Linked DNA regions of Callithrix jacchus. The protein of the gene in region 2 interacts with the protein of the main gene of each other region in a biochemical or structural test. Links are inferred from orthologs where the notes say so. Each region holds a gene or a part of one and is shown on either strand. Other genes may lie near its edges. The genes, in order: ESR1, GRIP1, THRA, PPARG and CARM1.

Region 1 (3,957 bases), on a different chromosome or scaffold from region 2:
TAAGTGAATCTTGTTGAGATTTTATGTTCAGTCACTTGAAATTAAATACTTTACATACTAACTAAAATGTGTCCTGCTCTCTGTATTCTGGAGAAGCTTCTCTCAGGCAAATTAACATATTCAAATTATTTTATGGGCTAACTGACAAGTATAGAGAAGATTGAAGACAGTTAAGATCATTTATTTCAAAATGTTTTAAAGCATTGATTATTTCTTTTGGTTTTCCTTCCTTCCCATGACAGTTTTGAGGTGTAGCTTACTTGGCAGACGTCACTCTGTACTGGGTACTGGGACAGAGAGCAATACAATAGCAAGAGAGAGATTCCTCCTCTGCCCCCTCTATCATTCTCACTTCCAGAAAACCAGCCTTTTTCAAGACTTGTAAAGAAGAAAAAGCGAAAATATTTTTAAAAAATCATTGAAAGTACATACTGCATAAACCACAGCAGACATGATGAGATATTAAAATTTCAATGTTATTAAAAAATTTTAATATGATTTTACAGCCCTTTTTCTACTTTAAAATGTGTATCTTAGTGTTAAACAAACAATCAATAACCACATAAATTTAAAAATTGCTGCAGGAAATACCGGACAGTTTATGGAAGGATCATGCGACAGAAATTAAGGACCAAAGAGCGTAAGGAGCTAGACCTGTGCAGGTTACCGAAGTCAAGAACCTAATTAATCAGTAACAGGAAGTGCAGAGCCGGCTTTTGAGTCCATGCCTGAGTAAGAAATTCCCAAATAACACTAACAGAAGACATTTCCTTACCCCTGCTTTTAGTTTAGCTCTAGCTAACTTTGGATTAACAAAATTTATGTGCTGAATGAATGTTTTATTTTTTTTTCCAGCCCCACACGCCTGTCTAGACTTTGAGCTTTATTAGGAATAAAGAGAAAAATCGGCTGGAGGGCGTAAAAAAATTTCAGGCAGATTAACACATGATTTACCTCTTTTTGAACATCCATTTTAGTGGAAGTGCTAAGAAAGTTAGATTCAAGCCGGGCTTGGAGAAAGCAAGGCCACCCCCTCCTCTATGTTTTCAATGAGATTTTCCAATCCTAGTCAAATGGTGGTGCTAGTTCTTTATTTTTGAGTTACTGCATTTCCTAATTTCATGGTCATAACAGCCTCCTGTCTACCGAGTCAGAACGGATTTTACCAAAACTGAAAATGCAGGCTCCATGCTCAGAAGCTCTTTAACAGGCTCGAAAGGTCCATGCTCCTTTCTCCTGCCCATTCTATAGCATAAGAAGACAGTCTCTGAGTGATAATCTTCTCTTCAAGTAGGTACTCCTATTTCTTCTCAATTTATTTTTTCCTTTTTGATATAATGTGCTACTGTTTACAAGCATATTGTAACTTCAGAGCTTACGTCTCATCTTTAAAAAATGTTCATTTTTTTCCTCTTTCTGCTCCAAGGATATTTTGCAAACTTACTGGCAAGTATTCCTAGGATGATAAAATGTGAAATCTAAACTTGGTACAGTGGAAATTCACTTCTAGAATAATATTTAGCTGAGGCAGAGGGCAATCCGACTACCCTGTTCTTAGTACAGCACACACAGGCTGCCTGTCTGCTCCAGATAACATATATCTATCGGATCCAGCACTAGCTAGGAGACACCGTGTTGTTGAGCTGTGTTAGAATTTTAAAAGTTCTTAATTAGAGAAATCTCAGACTAGCAGGAACACATTACCTGTTTTCTTAATCTTTGGAGCCATAACTTATATGAGTTTGAACTAAAAGATGTGAATGATCCATTATTTGTTTCCTAAAGGCAGTCAAGTTTTCTGAAAAGCTACACGTCCAGCAGCACAAGAATGAACGATTCTGTCTTGAAATTGGCCTCTGATTTTAAGCAAGTTCTTTTGAGTCCTGGTGTCCCATTTTCTCGGTTCCTTTTTGCCTCTCAAAGGCACACGCATAATGACTTCACCACATATAGCAGTGGGCTACTCGGGTAATGATGTGGCAGTCACAAGACAGGGCAGAATACTTTCATTTTGGTCAGAGGCATGCCACATGTCTTAGGAAATGCTCGTTGAACTGTAAGTTTCATGCTTTGTCAAGAAGATAACCAGTATTCTCTCAAGTCCATAGGAGCCGACGTGATTAAAACATTTTAAAGCAATTTACTTGATAGAAGGGTTGGGCTTTATCAGGACTTGTGATCATGGCAATGGTTCCTGCTTAAAGGTGCCAGATTTTTAACGCCTTTATGTGTCAGATCTAATAGGCTTACAGAGCAACTCTATGTATATGAGGCTGCTGGGAAACTCATCCAGTTTTGAATGTGGTATATACATATTTTAATGTTGAGAGTAAACTTAGGAAGACCAGGCAGAAGTGTTTGAACTGAATTCTGAAATGTACAGAGAATTTAAATTGGGTGAGAATGTTTGAGGTCCACGGTTCAGGGTTCATTTCGATACCATAAAATCCCCTCCTAGTTCTTAAAAGCAAATGTTTTCTTTGATTTTGTTAATGTCCTGTGAAGACCGCCGACTGGGCTGTGAAATGCATGCAGATAATGCCGTAGCGGTTGGATAAAATAATCTAGAATGTTAGATTTTCAAGGAAATTAGAAATAAAAACAATGTAGGTAAAAGGCATGATGTAGGAAAACAGCAGAATTTTCATTAAGAACACAAGGGTCGTATTTACAAGCAGAAGATTTTTCTTGGACACTTGGAGATATTTGTTTTGTTTTATTGCTCATGACAGTCAAGGAAAGGAATACAATGTTTGGGTCTTAAACTTGCAGCAAGAAAAGTCAAACTATCTTTTGTTTCTGAGAACTCTTGTCTTTGTTCAGTATTGGGTTTAGAGCTAGCTACCACCCACCTTCCCTTCAAACACTCACTCTAAACCTCCACACAGCATAACGATGTACATCAGGTGTCTGCCAAACAAGTTCACATGGTTGTCTGCAGGTCTTCTCTTAGTCTAGCTGCACTCATTTATCCTAGTTGGTCAGAACAGTTGCTTGAGTTGAGGGCCTGGTGGTTGAGTTTACTTTGCTTTGAATAGGGAACAGCTCTGCTTCATGACTCCAGATTGGCTATTTGGAAAAAAGGGCAAGGAAAAGAGTGACCCAGCTCTCAGTAGACCATCCACACTGCTGGTAAAAAATAAAATAAACAAAATAAAATAAACAAAATAAACTCATAGCATAGGATTCATCTATGGCAGTGGCGACATGGTCCTGTCCATCTGCCTCTATCAGGATAGAGTCTCCATTGTTGATCTCTGAGAAAGAGGTGCTATCTGTGAAGCCTCCTGCATATTATCAAATAAAGTGCTCTTTTCAAAGGCAGGCACTGTACAGGTAAGACTGATGATGTGTGCCTGCCTTCTGGGCAACATCTCATTAGACTTCCTCTGAATCATTCCCACTGGACACAACAGCAAAAACATGCACATCAGTGAGTTTTATGGTTCTATCTAAGGCATATAACATTTTTCTCACTGAAAGTCTGTGATTGTTTCAGAGAATGAAGGGGCTTACCCTACTCACCTGCCCCTTAAAATATTCTGCTAGAAAGCTGATACCTCTGCTCAGGTTTTCCACAGCACATCACTCTTCGGTGAGAATTCTATTAAGTGGTTCAATTCAAATCCATGGAAAAATGACTGAGTACCCAGTCATAGCTCCCACCACTCTCTAGCTGTGCAATTAGAGGCAGATTATGTCACCTCCATCATTAAATTTCTCATCTGCAAAGTTGGAGTACTAACAGTAGCTACCAGAGAGAATTATATGGAGTAAATGAGATTAAACCACTCATTAAACTCCTTGCAGTCTCTAAACATTAGAAACTCAATATGAGGAAGTTATTTCTACTCTAAGCCTATCACAGTGCCTGTTATTCAATACATGTTGGTTGAATAAATGAAATAATTCAAGATCAGCACCAAAGCTGCTAGGAGTTTATGAACATCTGATCAT
Region 2 (3,523 bases):
GGGTCTCACTCTGTCACCCAAGCTACAGTTCATTGGTGTGATCTCAGCTCACTGCCACCTGTGCATACCAGGTTCAAGTGATTCTCCCCCCTTATCATCCCCGCCCCCAGTAGCTGGGATTACAGGTGCCTGCCACCACACCTGGCTAATTTTTGTATTTTTAATAGAGATGGGGTTTTACCATGTTGGCCAGTCTGGTCTCAAACTCCCTTCTTCAAGTTGTCTGCCCACCTAGGCCTCCCAAAGTGCTGGGATTACAGGCATGAGCCACCCCATCTGGCTCCTTTCCTTTCTTTTAAAAGTTAGTTTCACATTAAGTTACATTTTTTTTAAACATATATCATGGATCTATCTTTTCAGCAAAATATATTTTACTATTTTGTTTATTACCAAAACGTTTTAAGGAAATTTATAAAACGTGATATCATTTGGTTTATTTATAAGTGGGGAAAACATGTTTCCCTCTTCGAGATAAATTTGGTTTCTCTTTCCTTGTAGATATAGCAGCTAAAATACATTCCTGACGTTCCATCCCATTTCAATAGGGCCATGTGGCTACAGCCTATTTAGCAGCAGCCACAAATAGTCTGAAATCCAGTAGTAAGACCACGGACCAGCCTTTCCATCTTCACAACAGTACATTTCCTAAAGCGTCCCTCTGCTGAAGCTCATGTACTTGGAGGACACAGATGGAAGAAAGCCAGATCCAAAATGACTGTCTTTCTATATTTTGTGTGAGGTGAAGGAGAGAGATTCTGGATACCATACACATATGTCTAGCAAGTTCCTAAGCTGGTCTGTGTTTCTTCACAACAGTTTTGCAGGGGCTGCTGATAGTGCAGAGACAGAACAAGAGGAGAACTTCTGGTCTCAAGCGCTGGAAGATTTGGAAACCTGCGGACAGTCAGGAATTCTGAGAGAACTGGAGGTAGCCTTGGTCCTGCTACTTACTTTTATTGTTTCTACATTCATTTTTTTCGGTCCTTTTAAGTTTGCATTTCTCACACCAGTTCATTTAAAAGCTTTAACCCCTTTCCACAGGAGAAAGCTGACAGGCGTGTGTCTTTGAGAAACATGACTCTCTTGGTAGCTACCCTTTATGTTTATATTTTTGCTTGTGAAGCTGCCTTCCCTACCCTTTTGCCTTCTGGACAGCAATTTGATTTTATACAATGCAGTCAAAAGTATTTATTTCCCCATCTCCACCCCTTGAGCTTACTGACTTGTGGCTTCTGCCATTGCTCCCTGCTATCCCTGACTGTCTCTGTTTCCCACCAGTTCGCTAAAAAGCGAGCTAAGTCTCCCAGCAGTGGCGCATCCCATTCTCTTAGTTGCTTTAGAAAGGTTTATTTGGCATGTTTTCATTTGTACCTGGTATAGAAATTAATTTGATCGTTAAGAGGAACATAAAAGGAAATTCTATTTTACTTTGTTTTGTCCTTAAAGTAGATGACAATGCAGCTGCTGAAAAAGGCCAGTCTGTTTGATAAGCAGCAAAAATATTACATAGTACTTTGCTGTTAATTGAAAATCCTGATTCCATCCATGTTAACTGAGTGTAAATTCAAGGAAGAATGCGATGGAGTGTAATAGCTGAACTCCTGGTGAGTTCTTTAATCAAAGCCATGAATTTGCTGATGGTATTCACACTTTAGTCTGGGAAGTCCTGGACTATTTCCTTTTATGTTCTTTTAAATTTTCTGAGCTGTAAAAAATAAAGTGGCAAAAGTCTCATTTTTATTTTGATGCCATATGAGGTTCCCAAGTCACCATAAGGAATGTGAATGGCATAATGGGGTGAAACTCTTGCAATTCTAAAATGATTATTCATCTTTATATTATTTTGCTTCTCAATTGCATGTGTGGATATTTTATGTGATTCTAATGTTTGTGAATCTGCAGAGAATTATCAAGAAAAATATTAGTTTGAACTTGTAGACATCATAGTATTACCTGGCATGAATTGCAGCTTCAGAGCATAATTAAAGGTCCTGGACATGGATAATCCTATAAAATCTAAACGAAGTAAGATGTTGCAATGATTCCTTTTTATACAACTTTCAAAAAGAGCAGAATGCATAAGTATCAGCTGGCTTATTTAAACCTGTACCACCTTCTGCATGTAGAATGATGAAGAAAAGTGGCCCAAACTGAATAACGAGCACAATTCACAATTCTTGAACATAGCTCTGCTTTTGGAAGCATGTTTTGGCTCATCCAGCTTTTTCATTGTGCAATTTAATACTTCTCTTCTGAAGAAAAGCTATTCTTCTAATGGCTTATTTTACATTAGGCAAAAAGAAAATGATGTAAAAAGTAATACAGTGGAGTTCTGTTTTCATCCAGAAATTGAGTTATCCATCAGCAAGAATAGAAGTTATGTTGCCACAGCCTGTGAGTTTGCTCCAACATAGCTCCAGACAGGTGTGGCCCTTGACATTATTATGCAGAAAGCAAATAAGTTGAATTTATAAGCCAAAGGGAAATTAAATCCTTAACTAGGATGAATGACTGGCAAAGTCATAGAGTCATATTTACACTTTTATCACAAAGAATATTCGTTTTTGATTTAAGTGAATTCCATTCCCTTGATTGGAAATGCTATTATACAAAAAAAATATTGGAGCTAGATTCTTGCCCGTTAATTTTACATCCAGCATTAAAAGTTAAAGCACATTATAATACTAATAAATGTAGACAGTTAGCTAAGATGAAAGATGATTACAATTGAAATGCAAATGAAAATTAATTTACTAATCATTTTCCCTATTGCTAGTAATAATTTAGATTCAACTTTAACACTGAAAAAATGTATAGCTTTAACAAAGGAGAAAAATTTGAATGAGTCTTGGACAAGTTTTTAACCTCTCTGATCAGATATTTCTTCTATAAAATGTGGGAATTATAATGAGCTAGTAATTATGTGGCACTTAAGTGTTCAATAAGTATTCAATAAAAGTTAACTATTAGTATTTTTACCCTTTCTTGATTAATGAACACTGCTTTAACTATTTTTTGTTTAGCATAATATAGGAAGAAGATTTAAATGTCACATAGAGAACTCTAGGTTGCCTTAGGGATAATATACAGTTATGAATTGTGGCAAGTGAAAACAGGTAACACATACTCTTGAGACCAAAGCAAATCTTAGGTAATTAAAAATAGTTTTTTAGCTTTTTATTTTAGTTTTTATATTTGTGTTTTAGCTTTTATGTTCCTCCTTAGATGCTACCTAAAGTTCATTTAAACAAAGCAATCAAACTTATTGCTGTACATTCACCTACTTACTTGAAGATGTGAACCAAAGAATTAAGGATAGCATCTCATTTCTTCCATGAGAACCTTTTCTAAATCAATTTGTAATTTCTTCAATGGCAGCTAAGACTCATCAAAGCAAAACTGTGGTCTCCCAGATGTAGTGATTAAGTGTTTTACTTCCAATATGTGTCCTGTCATTCTCATGAAAAATGAATATTTAAAAATGGATGTTAACAAAGCAAACAACTAGTCTTAGTAGGTAAAA
Region 3 (3,523 bases), on a different chromosome or scaffold from region 2:
TAACCTCCGCCTCCCGGGTTCAAGCAATTCTCCCACCTGTCTCTCAAGTAGCTGAGATCACAGGTGTCCGTCACCATGCCTGGCTAATTTTTATATTTTTAGTAGAGACAGGGGTTTCACCATGTTGGCCAAGGTGGTCTTGAACTCCTTACCTCAAGTGATCCACCCACCTCAGCCTCCCAAAGTGCTGGGATTACAGGTGTGAGCCACCATGCTTGGCCTCTATGAATAATTTTTTTTTTATATACAGTCCAGAAGTCTTTTATTTTTTTTTAACACCTATTATGCCATGAATTCATAGGGAATAGGTTCCAGCAGCTCAGGCTCCTTCCCATTGGTTCTCACAAAGTGTGCTTCTCTGGGTGGAGCAGGCTGTCGCTTCAGTTGGACCCAGGTACCTTTCTCTTTGGCTTCCTTCTTTTTCTGATCATTTTCCTTCACATGTTTTAGGAAGCTATCTCGGCTCTTAGAGTGCTTGATGTGCTCAATACGCACATTAATTCTCTTGGCAAGAATCTTGCCCTTAACTTGTTTGTTTACAACAATGCCAACAGCATGCTGGGTAACATCGTAGACTCTTCCAGTTTTGCCATGATAACATTTGTGGGGCATTCCTTTTTGAACAGTACCCATTCCCTTGATGTCTACAATATCACCTTTCTTATAGATTCGCATATATGTGGCCAAAGGAACAACTCCATGTTTTCGAAAAGGCCTAGAGAACATGTATCGAGTGCCTCTCCTCTTTCCCTTTGTGTTCGTCATTTTGGCGAATTACTGGAAGATGGCGGTTCCGGCCAAAAGGCGAATAATTTTTAAATTAGCTGGGTGTGGTGGTACATGCCTGTAGTCCCAGCTACTCAGGAGGCTGAGGCAGGAGGATCCACTAAGCACGGGAGGTCAAGGCTGCAGTAAGCCATCATCATACCACTACACTCCAGCCCAGAAAACCGAGCAATACCCTGTCTCAAAAAGAAATGGTCAGTTTGGCAGGAGATGGACAGTTGGCTCTGTATGGTGAAGGAAGGCAGAAACCTGGGTCCTGGCTCCTGGTTCCTGGTGGAGCATGTCAGGGGTGGCACAGTGAACTGTTAAGGGTGCACTGATTCCAAGCAACGTGGCAGTCAGGAGTCAGACTGCCTGAGTTCAAACCCTGGTCCTACCACCTGCTAGTCATAGGACTTTCGCCTTATTACTTAGCTGCCCCATGCACAGTTTCCACATCTGTGAAATGGTGATTATCATAATTATTCCTTTTAGGATTGCGGTCAGGATGAAATGAGATAAGGCATATAAAGCATGCAGCCTGATGCCTGATCACATATTAAGTATTCAGCCATTGTAGCTGCTACTACTGTTATTGCCATTGGTATTATCAGCTGACTTGGAGCTCTGGCTCTGCTCTAGGTGAAGGAAAAAGCTTTGGGGCTGGGACTCAGGCACTGATGGCCCCTCTTCCCCAAGCTGCCTTGGAGCTCCCCCTGGTGGGCAGGGGGGCCTCAGTTAGCGGCTGAAAGGGGGCTGCGGCCCCAGCTGACCCCTGTCTTTCTCTCTAGCCTGAGGACATTGGCCAGTCACCCATTGTCTCCATGCCGGATGGAGACAAGGTGGACCTGGAAGCCTTCAGCGAGTTTACCAAGATCATCACCCCAGCCATCACCCGTGTGGTGGACTTTGCCAAAAAACTGCCCATGTTCTCCGAGGTGAGTGGCAGCAGGGAGGAGAGACATCGTGTGCTGGAGGGAAACCTGCTCCCCTGGTCACCCAGTACAAGCTCATCTGAGGTTCTCTGGACAAGGAGCAATTCCTGTACATCAACACATACCCAGCACACAGGCACACGTACAGATACATACACACACACACACACACACACACAGATACACACACACGCAGCACACAGACACAACATAGACACACACACACCTAGCACACAAATGCATACACAGACATACACACACACACACACCTAGCACAGACACATGCACAAACACATACACACATAGACACATACCCAGCACACAGGCACACACACAGACACACCCAGCATACACACACACAGATACATACACCCAGCACACAGACACATACACACACCCCTAGCACAGACACAGACACACACAGACACAAACACACAGCACACAGGCACACACACAGATGCATACACAGATACACACCTAGCACACAGACACACACCTAGCACACTGACACACAGACACACACTCAGCGCAGACACACAGATACATACACAGCCACACACACACACATTCACACACAGCACACAGGCACACACGTGGAGACACACACCTAGCACACAGACACATACACAAATACATAGACACACACCCTCCCAGCACTCCCATACACACAACACACACAGAGACACACACCAAGGTCTAGCTGCTCTAAGAAACCAGCTGGCTGCAAGTGCCCCTCTCTGCAGCCCCTCATCCCTCAAATCTATGCGGCCACCCAGCTCCAGGCAATCTGAAAGTTCTCATTTTCCAGAGCACTAGTGCTGGAAACGGGCTGCCCTACCAGCCCTGTGACCTGGGACAAGTTACCTCCATCCCCTGCGCCTCAGTGTTCCCATCTAGTGTGGGCTGGGCGTGATGATGGGTGCTAACTCACAGGCATAATTTATTTATTTTTTCTTTTTTGAAATGGAATCTGGTTCTGTTGCCCAGGCTGGAATGCAGTGACGCTATCTTGGCTCACTGCAACCTCCACCTCCTGGGTTCAGGTGATTCTCCTGCCTTAGCCTCCTGAGTAGCTGTGACTACAGGTGTATGCTACCACACCTGACTAATTTTGTATTTTTAGTAGAGATAGGGTTTTACCATGTATGCTGGCCAGGCTAGTCTCAAACTCCTGACCTCAAGTTATTTGCCTGCCTTGGCCTTCCAAAGTGCTGGGATTACAAATGCGAGCCACTGCACCCGGCCTCACACATATAATTGTGAGGCTTAAATGAAATAGTGCATGCACGTGGCCTAACACAGGGTCAGCTGTTCAGAGTCCATGCTATTGGCTGAGGTCGATATGGGCCTCACCAGCCTCACGGCCCCTGGAGGACACTCCATGGAGACTCAGGGACGCGGGGAGGGGTGTGCTGAGTGCTCCTGTGGCCCTGCTGCTCCACAGCTGCCTTGCGAAGACCAGATCATCCTCCTGAAGGGGTGCTGCATGGAGATCATGTCCCTGCGGGCAGCTGTCCGCTATGACCCTGAGAGCGACACACTGACGCTGAGTGGGGAGATGGCCGTCAAGCGGGAGCAGCTCAAGAATGGTGGCCTGGGCGTAGTCTCCGACGCCATCTTTGAACTGGGCAAGTCACTCTCTGCCTTTAACCTGGATGACACGGAAGTGGCTCTGCTGCAGGCTGTGCTGCTAATGTCAACAGGTACCTGCTGATTGGCCGGGAGGGCTCAGAAGCTTCCAGGGGTCCCAGAGATTGGCTGGAGCCCCACCTGGTACTCAACTCCCTCCTGAATCTTCTTCCAGGCTAAATCTCTGTCACCCA
Region 4 (3,523 bases), on a different chromosome or scaffold from region 2:
GTGCTAAGAGAAGTAAACTGGGTGGTACTTGACACAGAAAGACAAATACCACATGATCTCACTTAGGCATGGAATCTAAAAACGTCAAACTCATGCAAGTAGAGAGTAAAATGGTGGTTGCCAGGGGCTTGAGAGTGATTGCATAGGGAGATGTCAGCCAGAGTTTCAGTTACGCAGCATGAGTTCTGGAGACCTAAGTGTAGGTCACCTTCAGCATGGTGACTATAGTTAGTGATGCCGTATGGTATATCTGAAATTTGCTAAGACAGTAGATCTTAAGTGTTCTCACTACACATATTCATACTTTAAAAGGTATGTGAAGTGATGAGTATGGTCATTAGCTTGATGATGGTAATCATTTCACAGTAAATACATACATTAAAACATCACATTGTATACCTTGTTTTTTTGTTTTGTTTTGTTTTTGAATGGAGTCTTGCTCAGTTGCCTGGGCTGGAGTGCAGTGGTGTGATGTTGGCTCACTGCAACCTCCACCTCCTGGGTTCAAGCCATTCTCCTGCCTCAGCCTCCCAAGTGGCTGAGATTATAGGCACATGCTACCACACCCAGCCAATTTTTCTATTTTTAGTAAAGACAAGGTTTCGCCATGTTGGCCAGCCTGGTTTCAAACTCCTGACCTCAGGTGATACTCCTTCCTTGGCCTCCTAAAGTGCTGGGATTACAGGTGGGCCACCGTGCCTGGCCTGTGTGCCTTAAGTTTAAAAATTTTTGTCTATTATACTTAAATAAAGCTGGAAAAAATTTTAAATAACAGCAGTCATTAACAGACTCAATTGATGACCTTCTGTAGAAGATAATGAGAGCAGAACTGTTAGCAAGACACTTATATGAATATACTATATGTGTCTGCACTGTTTCAGGATTCTCTACTCTGATAGGTAAAGGATGACTTCCTTCCTATCATAAAACAGCCTGAGCAGCACTGAGAAGATGGTTATGTTCTTTTCTCGTTTTAAGAGCCTAGAAGAGATTACTTCGCCAAAGACTCTTTCATTTCCCTTTCTGGAACTCTGTGACATTGCTCTGTTCTCCAGGACTTAACTTCATGGCTGGTCTATTTTTCCTTTCAGAAATTACCATGGTTGACACAGAGATGCCATTCTGGCCCACCAACTTTGGGATCAGCTCCGTGGATCTCTCCGTAATGGACGACCACTCCCACTCCTTTGACATCAAGCCCTTCACTACTGTTGACTTCTCCAGCATTTCTACTCCACACTATGAAGACATTCCATTCACAAGAACAGATCCGATGGTTGCAGATTATAAGTATGACCTGAAACTTCAAGAGTACCAAAGTATGTTTATTTTCATTTTTCAGACTCCTAAGACTGGAATTGGACTAATCTCTCAGTAACCCTGTAATACTCCAGAGACTAGAACACTAATAGAGAAGGCATTCATCATTGATTTATTCACCCATTTATCCATCAAACATTAGGTATCTATGAAATGCCAGAAAGGAAGCTGGCGCCAGACCAATCTTGCCTTTCCCCCACTCTATCCTTCCTCTCTTCTTTCCTGTCTTGCTTACTTCCTTCTTAGGGACATTTTCTACCTTGATTACACTGCCATTTGTATCTCTGGCTAAGAGTCCATCATCCACGCTTTGAATTCTTTTGGCCTTTGTAAGTTAATAAGTAACAGTTCCAGGTCACCTGATATTTATTATATAACTTATCTTCACTAAATTACTGCTACTACAGTACATTTTTTTCTAATTTGTCCTTTCAGAATTTTATACTGAAACCTACTTTTGAGCACAAATTTGTCTTAACATTGTAGTCTATTGATAAATTTTCATGCCATTAACTAAATTAACATCAAAACATCAGATGCAAGAAAAACAAGAGCTGCACTTTTTGAGATAAAATGTATTTCTGTGATGCTGTTTCTTTGATTTTTATCATGTGTGGGCTGACATGCTGGTTTTCCAGAGCCACCACTATGTAACTGGCAACCATTACTTGACAATAAGTAAGAACTTCCTGTATTTCTGGTGGTTTTTAAGATAAATAATATGCTTAGTTATATTTATCTGTGTGGTTTTTAGTTAGAGCCTAATATGGAAATTTAATAGCCATGGGCCTAACTAGTAAAAGGTAGGCCGGACTTCCATTAAGTTCCCCCACCCTCTGTCAAAGATTATTTCACAAACCACGTCTTTTGACTGAACACTGATGGTAACCTGGGCTCTTATTTTTCTTGCACCTTGAAGCTAGGCATTCACAGCAGTGTTCCTTTTGTGGTTCTTTTGCAAGCACTGTTCCAAAGTACTTCTAAAATTTAATATTTAAATAAAATGTATAATTTAATATTGTGATGAATACCGAAGACAGAACATTTGCTAGCAAAATAAGCTTCCTTGTCTCAAAGCCTCTCTGTTGTCTGTTAAAGCTGTAGTATTGCAGGGTACTGGGGGTCATAGAACCACAGACTTAATTCCCGTTCCCATTTTAAATTTACAGGTGAGGCTTAGCGATGTTGTAACTTGACTGTGATTACACAGCCTTCTTTTTCTTGCCTTAACTCTAGTGTTTTTTTCATGTCCCATTGTGCTTTTATACTGAAACAATACAAATACAGCATGAAGGTGTACTATGGTGGCTTGCCCTTTTGCCTTTTTAGGACTGTTTTCATGGGATAATTATCCTCTCACGTTTCTATACACAGGTGCAATCAAAGTGGAGCCCGCATCTCCACCTTATTATTCTGAGAAGACTCAGCTCTACAGTAAGCCTCATGAAGAGGCTTCCAACTCCCTCATGGCAATCGAATGTCGTGTCTGTGGAGATAAAGCTTCTGGGTTCCACTACGGAGTTCATGCTTGTGAAGGATGCAAGGTAATTAAAAAAAAAAAAAAAATCTTTCTTCAAAGAAATCGTTGAAACCTTATTATTTCATTTGAGCAGAACCCTTTCTTTAGGTGATAAAAAATATGAATTTTTTCTTCTTAGAAAAGTGTCTTGTTCTGTCACCCAGACTGGAGTACAGTGGTACAATCAGAGCACACTGCAGCATTGAGCTCCAGGGCTAAAGTGATCCTCCCACCTCAGCCTCCCAAAGGATGATGTAATATTTGAGAGCCTAAGAAAGTGGATAAAAGCAGGGCTGCTTTACCCCACATTCCTTTCTCCAAATTGATTCTTTGAGACACTGATTTAATTTAACCCTTGCATCTTGCAGATTTTTACAAAGAGTGACTTCTCCAAGGTGTCGTGGGAAGACAGTGATGATTTGGCACCAGGATGCAGATTTCCTGCATTCCCTAGTTGTTTGTTTATTTTTTTGCTGTGCCATGTAATATTGTGTATACACAAGATTTTACAGATTATTTGTATATACATATCTTTGGATCCCTAGAGCAATCCTATAAGGTTGGGCTTCTTTATGGCCACATTACAGATGTAGAAATTATGAGTTTGTAAGACTTGCCAAGGCCATCCCTTAGTCAACGGCAGCCCTCAGTCTAGACTCTGACTCCTTAGGTGGTATTTGGTCT
Region 5 (3,488 bases), on a different chromosome or scaffold from region 2:
ACCCCGAACCCAGTGTCTTGATCTGAGATAGGCTCTCACTCCCACTGGAAGGGATGGTGGGACCTGGAGCCACGTTCCACCCTCCTAGCTCCCAGCCAGGTCGTAGCTGCAGGAAGCCCTGGGTGGGGCAGGGGAGGGGGGCAGCACGGGCTGCTCTGCTCTGTGGCACTCACATGGAGCCGATGAAAGCAACGTCAAACCAGAAAGCCAGGCCATGGACCAGCCCTGAATGCAGCATGTGGAATTTGAATGGGATTTCTATCCTGGAAGGCAAAGGGCAGTGGCTGCTGGGGAAGCCAGGCAGGCGCTGCCGAGAGAGAAGAGGGGGTGCCAGGTGCAGAGGCCCGGGGCCCCCGCCCACCACCTGCCCTGGGACGGCAGGATGCCGGCGGGAGCCAGGGGTAGCCCTGACCTTTGGCCTGAGCCAGACCTGGGAGGATGGAGTGTGGGTGCTGGTACCTGTGCAAATCTCCTTCTTTGGCTTCTAAGAAGTTCACTGTGTACTTGACGGACTTGGCCATCAGGATCCGGATGTCAAATGTGTCCTGGGAGAAAACACCGATGTGACCATCTGGTGCCAGGGCCAGCGTGGAAGAAGAGAGCCCTGCCCCTTACCCCAGGTCTGGCCACCGCCTCTAGGCTGTGCAGCTAAAACTAGCTTGTCCTCAGACACCCTGCGAGGAGGGCAAACCGGCACAACGCCACCGAGGGCAATTAGGTGGCAGCTTTCAAAATAACAAGTGTTTATTCACATACAAGATTTGGCACTACAGGAGTTTAACTTCCAGATACATGAACACATCAACAAACTTCTATGGATAATTACAGACTGTCCGTGGCAGTGGCACACTGGAAACCATCTAATTAAACCAATGATGGCCCACCCATCGAAGACCATGTGGATGTGAGAAAGAATGAAGAGGCTCTTTATGAACAGGTGGGGGAAGATCCCCACGCTAAATCATTAAGCAAGTTAACAAAAAAAGCAAGTTAAAGAACTAGTTGCTACCAGGTGTGGTGGTGCGTGCTTATAACTCCAGCTCCTCAGGAGGCTGAGGCGGGATGATCGCTTAAGCCTGAGTGTGAATCAAACCTGGGAAACGTAGGGAGACCCTGTCTCTAAAACAACAACGCTGGTGCTGATGTCCACTCCCAGTGATGTTTATATCCGACGAATGCACCTGCTGTGAACTATGTGAACCAAGTAAAATACAAAGAAAAGACTGAACCAGTTGTTGGAAGCACCAAGGACCAACCAGAGCAGCCAAGACTTTGGGGATCAAGCTTCCGGAAAGGAAGGAAATGCCCTTTCTGGCTTCTGCCTTTTTCCCAGGGGGAGGGCAGAAAATGGCCACCTCAATGTTTCAGCAGCTTCCCTGGGTGGGGAAAGCAAAATGGGAGCTCATGGTTATCATGGCAGCTCAGACTCAAGGGGCTGCAATGTCAAAGCAAAGGGAAGTAAGTGCAGGAGGGCGAGGTGGGCAGTACGCACTCAATGCGCCTGTGAAATTGGCCAACTCCTGAGCTTTGAGCGGGGCGGGGCATCAGAGGATAAGACACCAAGCGGAAGGCTGCTTGTAAGAGGCTCAAGGCCAGGCGTGGCAGCTTACGCCTGTAATCCCAGCACTTTGAAAGGCGGAGGGGTCGGATCACCTGAGGTCAGGAATTCAAGACTAGCCTGGGTAACATAGTGAGAGCTCATGTCTACAAAAAATAAAATTAGCTGGGCATGGTGGTGCACTCCTGTAGTTCCAGCTACTTGGGAGGCTGAGGCAGGAGGATCACTTGTGTCTAGGAGGTCAAGGCTACAGTAAGCCATGGCGTGAATCAGCCATTACACTCCAGCCTGGGCAACAGAGTGAGAACCTGGTTCAAAAAAAAATACAAAAAAAAGGTAAGGGGAGGTTCAGAAGCATATTGGTAATGAGGCTAACCACTGGACTTGCATTAAGATTACTGAAGGCAGTAGGCCAGGCGCCGTGGCTCACGCCTGTAATCCCAGCACTTTGGGAGGCTGAGGCAGGTGGATCACAAGGACAGGAGTTTGAGACCAGCCTGGCCAAAACTGTGAAATCCCATCTCTACTAAAAATACAAAAATTTGCCAGGCACGGTAGCGGGTGCATGTAGTCCCAGCTAGTCAGGAGGCTGAGGTGGAAGAATCACTTGAACCGGGGAGGCAGAGGTTGCAGTAGCCAAGATTGTTCCATTGCACTCCAATCTAAGACTCCGTCTCAAAAAAAAAAAAAAATTACCAAAGTTCATACCCTAAAGTGGCAGTTTCTCAAATTGTGGTCCCTTCCAGGGCACCCTCTTAATAATACAACATTTTCATAATAACACCAAAATATTTCCAGCTTTTTTCATTCATTCACTCCCCGAGGCAGATGGATCACCTGAGGTTAGGAATTCAAGACCAGTGTGGCCAACATGGTGAAACCTCGTCTCTATTAAAAACACAATAATTAGCTGGGTGTGGTGGTGGACACCTGTAATCCCAGCTACTTGGGAGGCTGAGGTGGGAGAATCACTTTAACCCAGGAGGCGGAGGTTGCAGTGAGCTGAGATCACATCACTGTACTCCACGCTGGGCAACAGAGCGAGACTCCATCTCAAAAAAAAAAAAAAAAAAAGGAAAAAACCAAAAGCTCAATAGGATCCTCAATATTTGAGTGTGTAAAGGGGTCCTGAGACCAAAATATTTGAGAACAGTTGCCATATGGGGAATCCAGGAAAGAGATCAGCCACTGGAGTCTGAAAAGCAGGTCAAAGTATCTCAGGTGCCCGACAGGACCAAGGTGACCTCTCCATTTGTGAGGTGCCTGAAGAAAAATCCTTGGAAGGAAAAGCATCATTCAGTGCCTGCATGGTTTTTCATTCTGGCATCCAATGATCAGGCACAGCAAGAGACAAGAACAAAGGACCAGAGCCCAAAACCAAGAGACTAAACAGATGAAAACATACCTTCCACTCCTCCAGATAGTGAAAGTCACCAGCGACTTAGAACTAGCATGTACAAAATAATAGTATAAAAGAAAAGAAAAGAAAAATCTCATACAGAACTGTCTGGGCGCAGTGGCTTACACCTAGAATCCCAGCACTTTGGGAGGCCGAGGCAGGTGGATCACGAGGTCAAGAGATCGAGACTATACTGGCCAACAAGGTGAAACCCCGTCTCTACTAAAAATACAGAAATTAGCTGGGCATGGTGGTGCGCGCCTGTAGTCCCAGCTACTTGGGAGGCTGAGGCAGGAGAATTGCATGAACCCAGGAGGCAGAGGTTGCTGTGAGCTGAGATCGTGCCACTGCACTCCAGCCTGGTGCCTGGCGCCTGGCGCCTGGCACCTGGCACCTGGCGATGGAGTGAGTCTCTGTCTCAAAAAAAAAAAAAAGAAAACTGAACTGTGCAGCTGGGACAGAAGTAGGGAAGCTTTTCTCTTCTATACGCCTTTGATTTTTTTCAACGAGTATCACAGGATTTTTTTTCCT

What was found.
Region 1: the proteins of GRIP1 (region 2) and ESR1 form a complex in vitro, tested with the Homo sapiens proteins (2 studies listed by BioGRID and IntAct). The link is inferred for Callithrix jacchus from reciprocal best matches to the Homo sapiens genes GRIP1 and ESR1.
Region 3: the proteins of GRIP1 (region 2) and THRA form a complex in vitro, tested with the Homo sapiens proteins (2 studies listed by BioGRID). The link is inferred for Callithrix jacchus from reciprocal best matches to the Homo sapiens genes GRIP1 and THRA.
Region 4: the proteins of GRIP1 (region 2) and PPARG form a complex in vitro, tested with the Homo sapiens proteins (2 studies listed by BioGRID). The link is inferred for Callithrix jacchus from reciprocal best matches to the Homo sapiens genes GRIP1 and PPARG.
Region 5: the proteins of GRIP1 (region 2) and CARM1 form a complex in vitro, tested with the Homo sapiens proteins (2 studies listed by BioGRID). The link is inferred for Callithrix jacchus from reciprocal best matches to the Homo sapiens genes GRIP1 and CARM1.

What each region holds. Positions count from the first base shown.
Region 1 is NC_133505.1:158,537,519-158,541,475, forward strand, and holds the start of ESR1 (estrogen receptor), read left to right. Parts: upstream 1-1,157; 5' UTR 1,158-1,290; intron 1,291-3,957.
Region 2 is NC_133510.1:52,843,161-52,846,683, forward strand, and holds part of GRIP1 (glutamate receptor-interacting protein 1), read left to right. Parts: intron 1-816; coding exon 817-928; intron 929-1,041; coding exon 1,042-1,086; intron 1,087-3,523. UniProt on the Homo sapiens protein: May play a role as a localized scaffold for the assembly of a multiprotein signaling complex and as mediator of the trafficking of its binding partners at specific subcellular location in neurons.
Region 3 is NC_133506.1:71,696,323-71,699,845, forward strand, and holds part of THRA (thyroid hormone receptor alpha), read left to right. Parts: intron 1-234; exon of another isoform or gene 235-795; intron 796-1,556; coding exon 1,557-1,703; intron 1,704-3,144; coding exon 3,145-3,403; intron 3,404-3,523.
Region 4 is NC_133516.1:69,544,513-69,548,035, forward strand, and holds part of PPARG (peroxisome proliferator-activated receptor gamma), read left to right. Parts: intron 1-1,091; coding exon 1,092-1,319; intron 1,320-2,694; coding exon 2,695-2,864; intron 2,865-3,523. UniProt on the Homo sapiens protein: Nuclear receptor that binds peroxisome proliferators such as hypolipidemic drugs and fatty acids.
Region 5 is NC_133523.1:10,086,021-10,089,508, reverse strand, and holds part of CARM1 (histone-arginine methyltransferase CARM1), read right to left. Parts: intron 546-3,488; coding exon 460-545; intron 264-459; coding exon 174-263; intron 1-173. UniProt on the Homo sapiens protein: Methylates (mono- and asymmetric dimethylation) the guanidino nitrogens of arginyl residues in several proteins involved in DNA packaging, transcription regulation, pre-mRNA splicing, and mRNA stability.